Linked DNA regions of Sus scrofa. The protein of the gene in region 2 purifies or fractionates together with the protein of the main gene of each other region. This does not show direct contact. Links are inferred from orthologs where the notes say so. Each region holds a gene or a part of one and is shown on either strand. Other genes may lie near its edges.

What was found.
Region 1: the proteins of C9H11orf57 (region 2) and CSNK2A2 purify together in Homo sapiens (affinity purification with mass spectrometry; 5 studies listed by BioGRID and IntAct, counting the BioPlex papers as one, with this or other methods). This does not show direct contact. The link is inferred for Sus scrofa from reciprocal best matches to the Homo sapiens genes NKAPD1 and CSNK2A2.

The regions. Positions count from the first base shown.
Region 1 is NC_010448.4:20,013,819-20,018,408, reverse strand, and holds the start of CSNK2A2 (casein kinase II subunit alpha'), read left to right. Parts: upstream 1-1,684; coding exon 1,685-1,788; intron 1,789-2,574; coding exon 2,575-2,686; intron 2,687-4,590.
Region 2 is NC_010451.4:39,774,143-39,778,414, reverse strand, and holds the start of C9H11orf57 (uncharacterized protein C11orf57 homolog), read right to left. Parts: upstream 2,837-4,272; 5' UTR 2,701-2,836; exon of another isoform or gene 2,144-2,700; intron 1,526-2,143; 5' UTR 1,518-1,525; coding exon 1,449-1,517; intron 1-1,448.

The DNA.
Region 1 (4,590 bases), on a different chromosome or scaffold from region 2:
CGGCCAAACTTGGAGGGTAGAAAAAACTGAAAGACGGGCATCTCAAGGAGAGCAATGTGTAGGGAAAGGCCCTGGTCAGATAATAATCATATTGAGCACTCAGTATCTGCTAGACACTGTTCTAAGTGTTTTTCATGGTTTATTTTGTCTAATCTGCTCCATAGTCGTGTGAGGTAGGTGCCATTACTGCTTTTATTTTGTAAAATCCACAGCATAGAGAGGTTAAGTTATTGGCCCAAGGTAACACAGCTTGTAAGTAGCAGAGCTGGCATTCAAACACGGAAGGATCTAGCTTCAGAGTTTGTTCTCTTAATTGTATCAAGAAGGAGGAAGCAGGGCCTCACCTAGAAAACAGAATATGAAAAAGGATTGGATTCAAAGCAACCCAGGCTGAGTGATTAAAAAATGTGGGATGGAAAAGCAAGACCAAAGAAAGGCCCAGAACATCAAGGAGAGAAGAGTGTTCAGGGCTAGAAGGCAACCTAATAAAATAGGCCAAAGTTTGGTTGGCCACCCCACCCTCAGTCCATACCCAACTCCTAGCCTGTCCCTTCAAGGCAGGACTCTCACAATTCTCCTGCTCTCTGTCCTCCCAAACCAAACCAAGGTATTTCTATGGTCTCAAAGTGTCTCCACACATTTTGCTTATTAATTACAAAGGGAAAAATAGGAACTTTACAGTGAGTAACTTGGCTGACTCCAACTTAACCAAGTGAGGATATGAACATAAAGAGAGTTCTTAGGGAAGGTTCTGGAAGGATATTTTGGGGAAAATGTAAGATAAGGGTTTTGTGGATGAAGAGAGAAGGGGAAGTCTGGAGGTTCAAGAGTCTGTGGGTGGCAGGGGAGAGTCTATCAGGGAAGATGGGCTGTCTCTGGGAGGGGTGGGGAAATCAGGAGTTGGAGAGGTTCTGAGTGAAAAGAGCAAGTTTCATGAGGGAGGGACTTGATGGGAACAGTTTGGGTGACAAAAGTGTCACAGCAGGGTCGGTATGAGAGGTCTGGTGGTGAAACTCTGGATGACGAAAGGGTAGAGAGCTTTGGGGTAGGGGGTCTCTAGGAGAGTCCTGGAAGAGTAGGCGAGGGGGCAAGGCTCTAGGACAGCAGCCTGTGGGCGGGGAGGCCCTGTGATGAGCGCTTTCTGCCAGACCAAGGATGGGTAGATTTGGAAGGGGATCCTGGAGGGGCGGGGTCAGGGGCGGGACCAGGCCGGCGGGCGGGTCCCCCCGCGCTGCAGGGGGCGCTGTGAGGCTGGGCGGCCCCGGGCCGGGCGTCGGCCGCTCCTAGTGAGCGCGGCCCCTTTTCCGGGTTTCCTCCTCCTCCTTCTTCGCCGCCGCTGCCGCTGCCCCTTTCCCGGCCGGCGGCTGCCGCTGCTGGTGCCGCCGACGCCGCCGCCGCCGCCTCGGGGCCGCGAGCCGAGCGGAGGCCGCCGCGGAGCGCGAGCGCCATCCGCCCCGCCGTCCCGCCGGCAGCTCCAGGGCCCGGCCGGCTTGGCCGGCGCCCCCCGCGCCCCCAGCCCGCCCGCCCCCGCGGGCCCGGCCTGGCGCGGCCGCCCGCCGCTGCGCTCCTCCTCCTCCTCCGGCGGCCCGCGGCCCGCCGCCTCCTCCGCCCGCCGCCCCGCGCCCCCCGTCGCGCCGCCGCCGCCGCCCTCGGCGCCCCGCGACGCCCCCCGGTCCCGCCCGCCATGCCGGGCCCGGCCGCGGGCAGCAGGGCCCGGGTCTACGCCGAGGTGAACAGCCTGAGGAGCCGCGAGTACTGGGACTATGAGTCTCACGTCCCGAGCTGGGGGTAAAGCCGCCGCCGCCCCCCGCCGGGCCCTCTCACTCCCACCCCCGCCCGGCCGTCCCCCCACCCCCCGCGCAAACCGCACTTGTCCCCCGCTGTCTATCTCCTCGCCTGCCCCTTTGCTGGGCCTGCGCTTCTCCGGTCTGGGGTGGGAGGTCCACTCCCCCCACCAGTGCCCTCGTCTTCCTCTCCTCCCTTCCGCTTCTCCCTCCCCGTTGTGCGTACCCCTTACCCCAGGGTATACTTCCTTACAAGTGTAGGGGTCCAGGGACCAGAGCCCGGTGGGAGTAAGGGAGCAGCCTTTCCTTTTACGCTTTGGGGTTTCTATTGGGGTGGGAAGTCAGCAGCTGTCCTCTTGAGCTATTAAAATTCTTTGCTTTTCTATTTTTTTGAAATGAGGATGGGTGGGAGGAAATTTTTTAAGGATGTCCAGATTCGCAAGGCAGGCGGTGTCTACCTTCTGGGTGTGCAATAGAAGGCAGGTGCTGGGCGGAGGGGCACCTCTGGGCCTCCGGGATGGATGCTTTGCTCACCTCTAGATTGAGTCAGACCCGTGCCTTCCACCTTATCTCCCCTAAGTTATGAGGGACCAATTAGGTTAGGAACTGCGTCTAGTGCGAGGAGCCAAGTTTATGTTGTGGCTTTCATTTAGGGAATGAGTTGTGGCATGATGTGTAGACACTTCCAAGTGCTTGATTAATGGAAGCGCCTGGATGGGGTGTGTAGTGGGCATAGGCTTGGTTAATCCTAAGTCCTGCCATTTATATTTGTCGCTCTTGGCTTTCACAGTAATCAAGATGATTACCAGCTGGTTCGAAAACTTGGTCGGGGAAAGTATAGTGAAGTATTTGAGGCCATTAACATCACCAACAACGAGAGAGTGGTTGTAAAAATTCTCAAGGTGAGTGTCTTATGAGCGGCGTTAAAGTTTCTTTTTCACAGGTCAGAAGGATATGAACTATTTCAGCCACATTCTCCAATGAGCAGTTTGAGCTCTCATTTTGCATCTGTTCTGTCTGATGTCCCTCTCCTACTCCTCCCACCTCATTTTCCTGTGAACTTTCAAGAAAATCTGCAGAAATAGGCAGACCTGTTTCAACTCTAAGTGTGATGGTTCAGGAACATGCTTGTTCTGAAATGTAATTAAAGGCTTCCAAAGTGAAACTTCCAAAGGGGCTCCATTTATTAGAAAATAAATAGGCATTCAGAAGCAAAAAGAGCCTTTTCATGAAGATCCTATCAACGCAAAGGCTCCTCAAGTACTGTATATGTTATTCCAGAAAGTTGTAAAAAAGTAGCTTCAAGGATGCATTTGAAACCTGAGTGGAGGGAACCACTCCTGTGGAAAAATGACTTGTTTTTTCCTTCTTGGTGTTAAAAGTTTCAGGTAAGATGGATATAGTGAGCCAGTAGTGCCAGGAAGATTCATTGTTGCTTATCAGCTAGTAAACGTGAAGTTGGGTTGTTTTGAATTAAAGCAAAACAACCTGTCTAGTTTATAGAACCCTGAATTTGTTAAAGATACCTTTTGTCATCTCTTGAAGGAAGGCTTGATCTTGATGAACATGAAGAGTTGGCTAAATTCTCTTCTGAGTAACTGGTTGTGTAGCTTTGATAATGTGTCAAAGGCATATAAAAAATAATTCTTAGACTCTTTTCAATGATCATTGCCTGATCATTTAATGTGCGTGCATGTCATTTAGTGAAATCACGAGAAGACCAAAGAGTTGATTAGTAGGAGCATATAAGCACTTTCACATATACAAGAGTTCCAATGTGGCCATTTTGGAGAGGCTCTGCGAACAAGAATGTAGGATTGAAAAGCTGTTTTTGTGCCTTAAGTAAAGTTGGGGCAGCTGTGTCCCGATTTAAAAAGGGAGGTCAGGCTTCGACTATCAGAAAATCACCTTTCAGAAAAGTGATTGACTCTGTTACTGCTACCATTCTAGCCTTGTGATGAAGAGGCAGGTTTGCAGAGAAATAGGCAAGTTATTTGTGCTGTCAGAAACACTGGGGGGGAGATGTGAGGAATTGATACTGAAGATAGGGAGTTTGACTCTCCTCTTCCCTAAATATGAACTGCTCCTACAAAGTCACGTGGTCTTTATTTTTTTTCTTCACAAATATTTAAAGAAATATTCCCATCAGAGAAGTCACCTGGGAAACCATACAGTTTTTTTCTGTTAAACATTAGCATAAATGTTTTTAATAGAGCTACTTAAAATCTCTCTAGGAAATAAGCAAGGCATAAATTGACATTAGGAGTACCCATATCCCACTGTTGTGCAATCAGAAGAATAAACTGCTGACTCTAAAGCAATTCCAGAAAAATGTCTAAACTTTGATGTGATGGTAGCATTTTTAGAGTAAGTATGCAACTTCCTGTGGCGTCTTTTGAAAGGGAACCACATTCAGGTGTGTATATAAGTAATAGTACATTCATTTAGGGAAGTGTCATATTGCCCTTTTGTCATCCTTGTGGAGAACTTCATAGCCTCAGTTGCTGGATAGTTTTCCCCTGCTCTAAAGATTTATAGGATATGTTTAGGGTACCCGATATGGAAACTGAAGGACATTTTTAACCAACCAGAAATTTAGGCACCAAGAAGCATATCTAACGTCACTATGTTGAAATAACCCTTGGCCAGAACTCCTGTTTCCTATTTTTTTCCTCTCTCTTACTGTTTGTTTTAGTGTTAGGTTGTAAGATCTTAACATTGAGCACAGAGTAAGTTCCAGTGTTCTAGAATAAGTCTTGGGAGGCCCCTGTGATGCTCTAGTTAATGAAGTGTTAGTTCTTAGATC
Region 2 (4,272 bases):
CATATTTAATAGCCATAATTGAAAATAATATGACAAAGAATATATATGAATACACTTATCTAAAACTGAACACTGATGTACATCAGAAACTGACACAACATTGTAGCTCAATGATACTTTTAAAAATTTCTTAAATTTTTAAATTTTTTTAAAAAATTAAAGAAGTTCCCATTGTGGCTCAGTGGCTTAAGAACCATACATAGTGTCCATGAGGATGCAAGGTTTTTTCTTTTTTTTTTTTTTGTATTTTCTAGGGCTGCACCCACAGCAAATGGAGGTTCCCAGGCTAGGGGCTCTAATCGGAGCTACAGCTGCCAGCCTATGCCACAGCCACAGCAACTTGGGATCCAAGCCACGTCTGCGACCTACACCACAGCTCATGGCAACACCAGATCCTTAAGTCACTGAGTGAAGCCAGGGATCGAACCGCAACCTCATAGTTCCCAGTCGAATTCGTTAATCAGAGCCACAACGGGAACTCTGAGGATGAAAGTTTGATCCCTGGCCTTGTTCAGTGGGTTGAGGATCCAGTGCTGCTATGGCAGCGTAGGCCAGCAGCTGCAGCTCCATCTGACCCCTAGCCCAGGAAATTCCACATGGCACAGTTGTGGCAGTAAAAAGAAAAAGACATTTTTATGGAGTTCCTGTCGTGTCTCACTGGTTAACAAATCAGACTAGCAACCATGAGGTTGCAAGTTCGATCCCTGGCCTTGCTCAGTGGGTTAAGGATATGGCATTGCCGTGAGCTGTGGTGTAGGTTGCAGACACAGCTTGGATCCCGCTTTGCTGTAGCTCTGGCATAGGCAGGCAGCTACAGCTCCGATTCAACCCCTAGCCTGGGAACCTCCATATGTGGCGGGAGCGGCCCAAGAAATGGCAAAAACACACAAAAAAAGAAAAGAAAAAGACATTTTAAAAAAAAATTCTCATAACAAATTAAAACAAACACAAAAAATGTGATGGTTTCTTTTCTGCCTCGAGGAAAAAGTCTAATCTCTAAGCACCAAAATCTAACTGTAATTTACCACTCAGACCTCATCTTCTGCCATCCCCCCCCCGCCCCTGGTCCCCCTTCTCTTCTCTCTGGATACATACAATCTCTTGCCCCAAGTTCTTTACGCTCCTTGTATATGCTAGTGCATGACTTTCCCTCTGCCCTGAATAATGTTTTCCACCTGGTACACTAGAGCCTGCTCATCAAGAACCAGTTCAAATATCAGAAGCTCAAATACCACCCATTCTATGAAGCCTTTCCTAATTCCCCAAGGCAGATTTCATTATTCCTTCCTCAGTGCATGAAAGCACTTTGTATATGTCTCCATTATACTTATCAAATTATATTCTAATTCTATTTGATTTATCATGTATCTCCCAACTGTACCAAAATAATTTACGGCACACTGTATGCCCTCATTAAGCAAGAGGAATCACAAGGTTGGACCTCTCACCTTATTGTGAGCATCTGTGTGCCGGATGACATTCCTCAGGAGGACTTTCCCCAAGGGAACTCGGGACATTCTTCAATCTGAAATGAATCGATAAGTAACTTTTAATAATAATTCACTATGTTACCTTATTTTTATTACTGTGTTTTAATAAAGCATGAGTTAAAGGGAAAATCACTGAAGTCACAGGTCGTGCAGAATAGTTTTTCCTTCACCACTAAAGGGGAAAACACCTGACCACACCAATGTGAGGACGAAAGGAGGTAATGACCACTGGAGTTCTTTCAAACTGCACAAATTAAGTGCTTTGAGGAACATCATTTAATTCTCAAAGTAATTGTTTTAGATGAGGCAGGTATCTTCATTCCTATTTCGTAGGTGAAATTCTCTTAAAGCTATAACTTGCCCCAGGCCACATATTCCAAGGCAAACGAGGTCTAGATTAGAAACCAGTTTTTGAATCCCAAAATTAGTCTGCAATTAAGTAAATACCTAGATTTGAGAATGTCAGCGAAACAAATGTCAACAGTAACAAAAATTGACGTCTAAAAACATCGAATGCCGAGATGCCCTAAATTTCTCCATTCAAGGGTATCTTATATTCTACTTTGGACAGAAACCTCCAAAAAACAGAGGACAGGGATATTCACGTGTGTAGCCAGCAAGGGCTTTGTGCAACCACCCCACCGCTCACTCACCCCTTGATCCTGAGGAAATCAGGCATCTTGTTAGTGTGAGACGAAGAACCACTCCATTACAAGATCTCCTCCGACCCAGGAAGCCAAGGAGTCAGGGCTCAAAGGCAGCTCTGCAGCTTCACCCGAGTCCTTCGTGAAAACGCAGCCTTCCCACCGGTTATTCCGCCCTCACCCGTGGGCCTCGCCACCGCCGCCTCTCCCCAGCCCAGGCCGACAGGCAGATTTTTCTCCGGACTGAGGCCGGAGGCTGCTCTGGCTCGGAATCCGGACGGCCAAGTTGGCTAGCGCACTCCCCGCTCACGCTCCTCTGGGACGGCCCCGAGGTTGGGTTCCGCCTTCCCAAAAGGATGGGGACGCTTTGGCCGGGGACGCCCCTCGACTGGGCCCCAAAAAGTACCTAGAGTGGCTGAAGAGGGGATTGAGGCTTCCAAGTGGAAGACACAGAAAATACCCCCATCTTCGTCACCGGCACCCCTGCCCCCCAGCGGCCGCGGAGCTCCCGGTAACCTTCCCTCCAAACACCCTCCCCACAGAAACACACACAAACACACCCATACCGTGCGCCGCAGCCTCGCGTGACGGGGGCAGGGGGAGGAAGGGATCTGGGGGAGAAGGAAGCCGACTTCCTTTTCAGGCCGGAAGTCGTGCCCCTAAGAAATTCTTCCCACCAACAGGAGTCACAGAGACTCCCACAGGAGGGTTTCCAGGACACTGTAGAGGTCAACAGGTGCAGAAAGGGAGGTGAGCGCCCTCCTGGAAAAGAAGTGGGTCGGGCTCAGCCAGAAAGCAAGCCCAGCACCAGAAGGAGAAGATTCCGGAACTAGGTGTAAAAAGAACTTTCTGCCTGGAGCTTCCCGGACCCAATTAGATGTTGTACCAAGATGGTTACCCCGGTAACAGGCGTCGCGGTTTGTCAGGAAACCAAGAGAGGAGGTGGGTTTGCCGACCTCTGGAAAGACAGTTACATTTCCCTTTTAGTCTAACCTTCCTGTAGTGTTCAGGCAACCCAAACTTACTCTTTTCCTCATTCTGTCGATGCTATGGGACACGTCTCCATTGAGGGGAAGGAGGAGGGAGGAAGGTTACCTCAAGTCATGGAGAGAATATTACTATTCTTATGTAAGGCTTAGCAAGTGTTCAGCCTCTCTGTGTTACCTTACTTAATCCTCACGATAACCCTACGAGATAGGTATTATTGTCTTCATTTAGAGGGGAATAAACTGATACATGTATGTAAATTAAATGCTCAAATCACACAGCTAGTAAGTGATGGATAGAGCTAAAACTGGAATTCTATGCATTCTGTCTGCAGAGTCCATGCTGTTAACTACTAGATTATACCAAAGATTGAGGAAGTCTTGTGTAGCCTTCAATCCACAGCACACCTCTAGCAAATAAAGGAACTGGATAGGCACCACTTAGCTAATACCAGGATACTGGAACAAGAAAATTCCAGGAAATCCAAACTTTAAAAGATTACTCTGTCCCCTTAGGGTTTTTGAGGCTCTAGACAGAGGTAAGGCCTTATTATCTGAGGGAACATCTTGAGAATGTAGGAAGTGGTACTAGATAATTAGAGAATAAGGAAAAGATAAAATGGTGCTGAGCCACAGTCTTTTAGACACAGGTATTAAGGATAGTTGCTAACTTCAACAAAACAATTCCTGACGTATTCCTCCTCCCCCCAAAAATAAATGAATCAGTAGACCTTTTTTCCCTCAAATGTCTTTCCACAGATTTAAGAGGCCTAATTCATCTCAATCATGGAGAAATCCTCAAAAGGTCTGCTCACCCAAGTTACTCAACTCTGGAACCTTCTAGATGATCTGGCTGAAAGTAACCCTGAGAGCTATGAGAAGTTCATTCAACAGCAGCTGAAAGAGGGGAAACAGCTCTGTGCGGCCCCAGAACCATGGCTCTGTCTGCAAACCAGGATCCTGGTATGTAGAGTTGATGCCCAGAGAAAGGGAAATCCTGAATTAGATGGTCCTGGAGTAACCAGAGAATGACTTACCCTTAGCTATTGCTACTTCAACACAAAACTTGAGAGAAACTTCCACTCTAAAAGGAAATTAAGGAGTTCCCTTCGTGGCTTAGTGGTAATGAACCTAACTAGTATCCATGAGGAC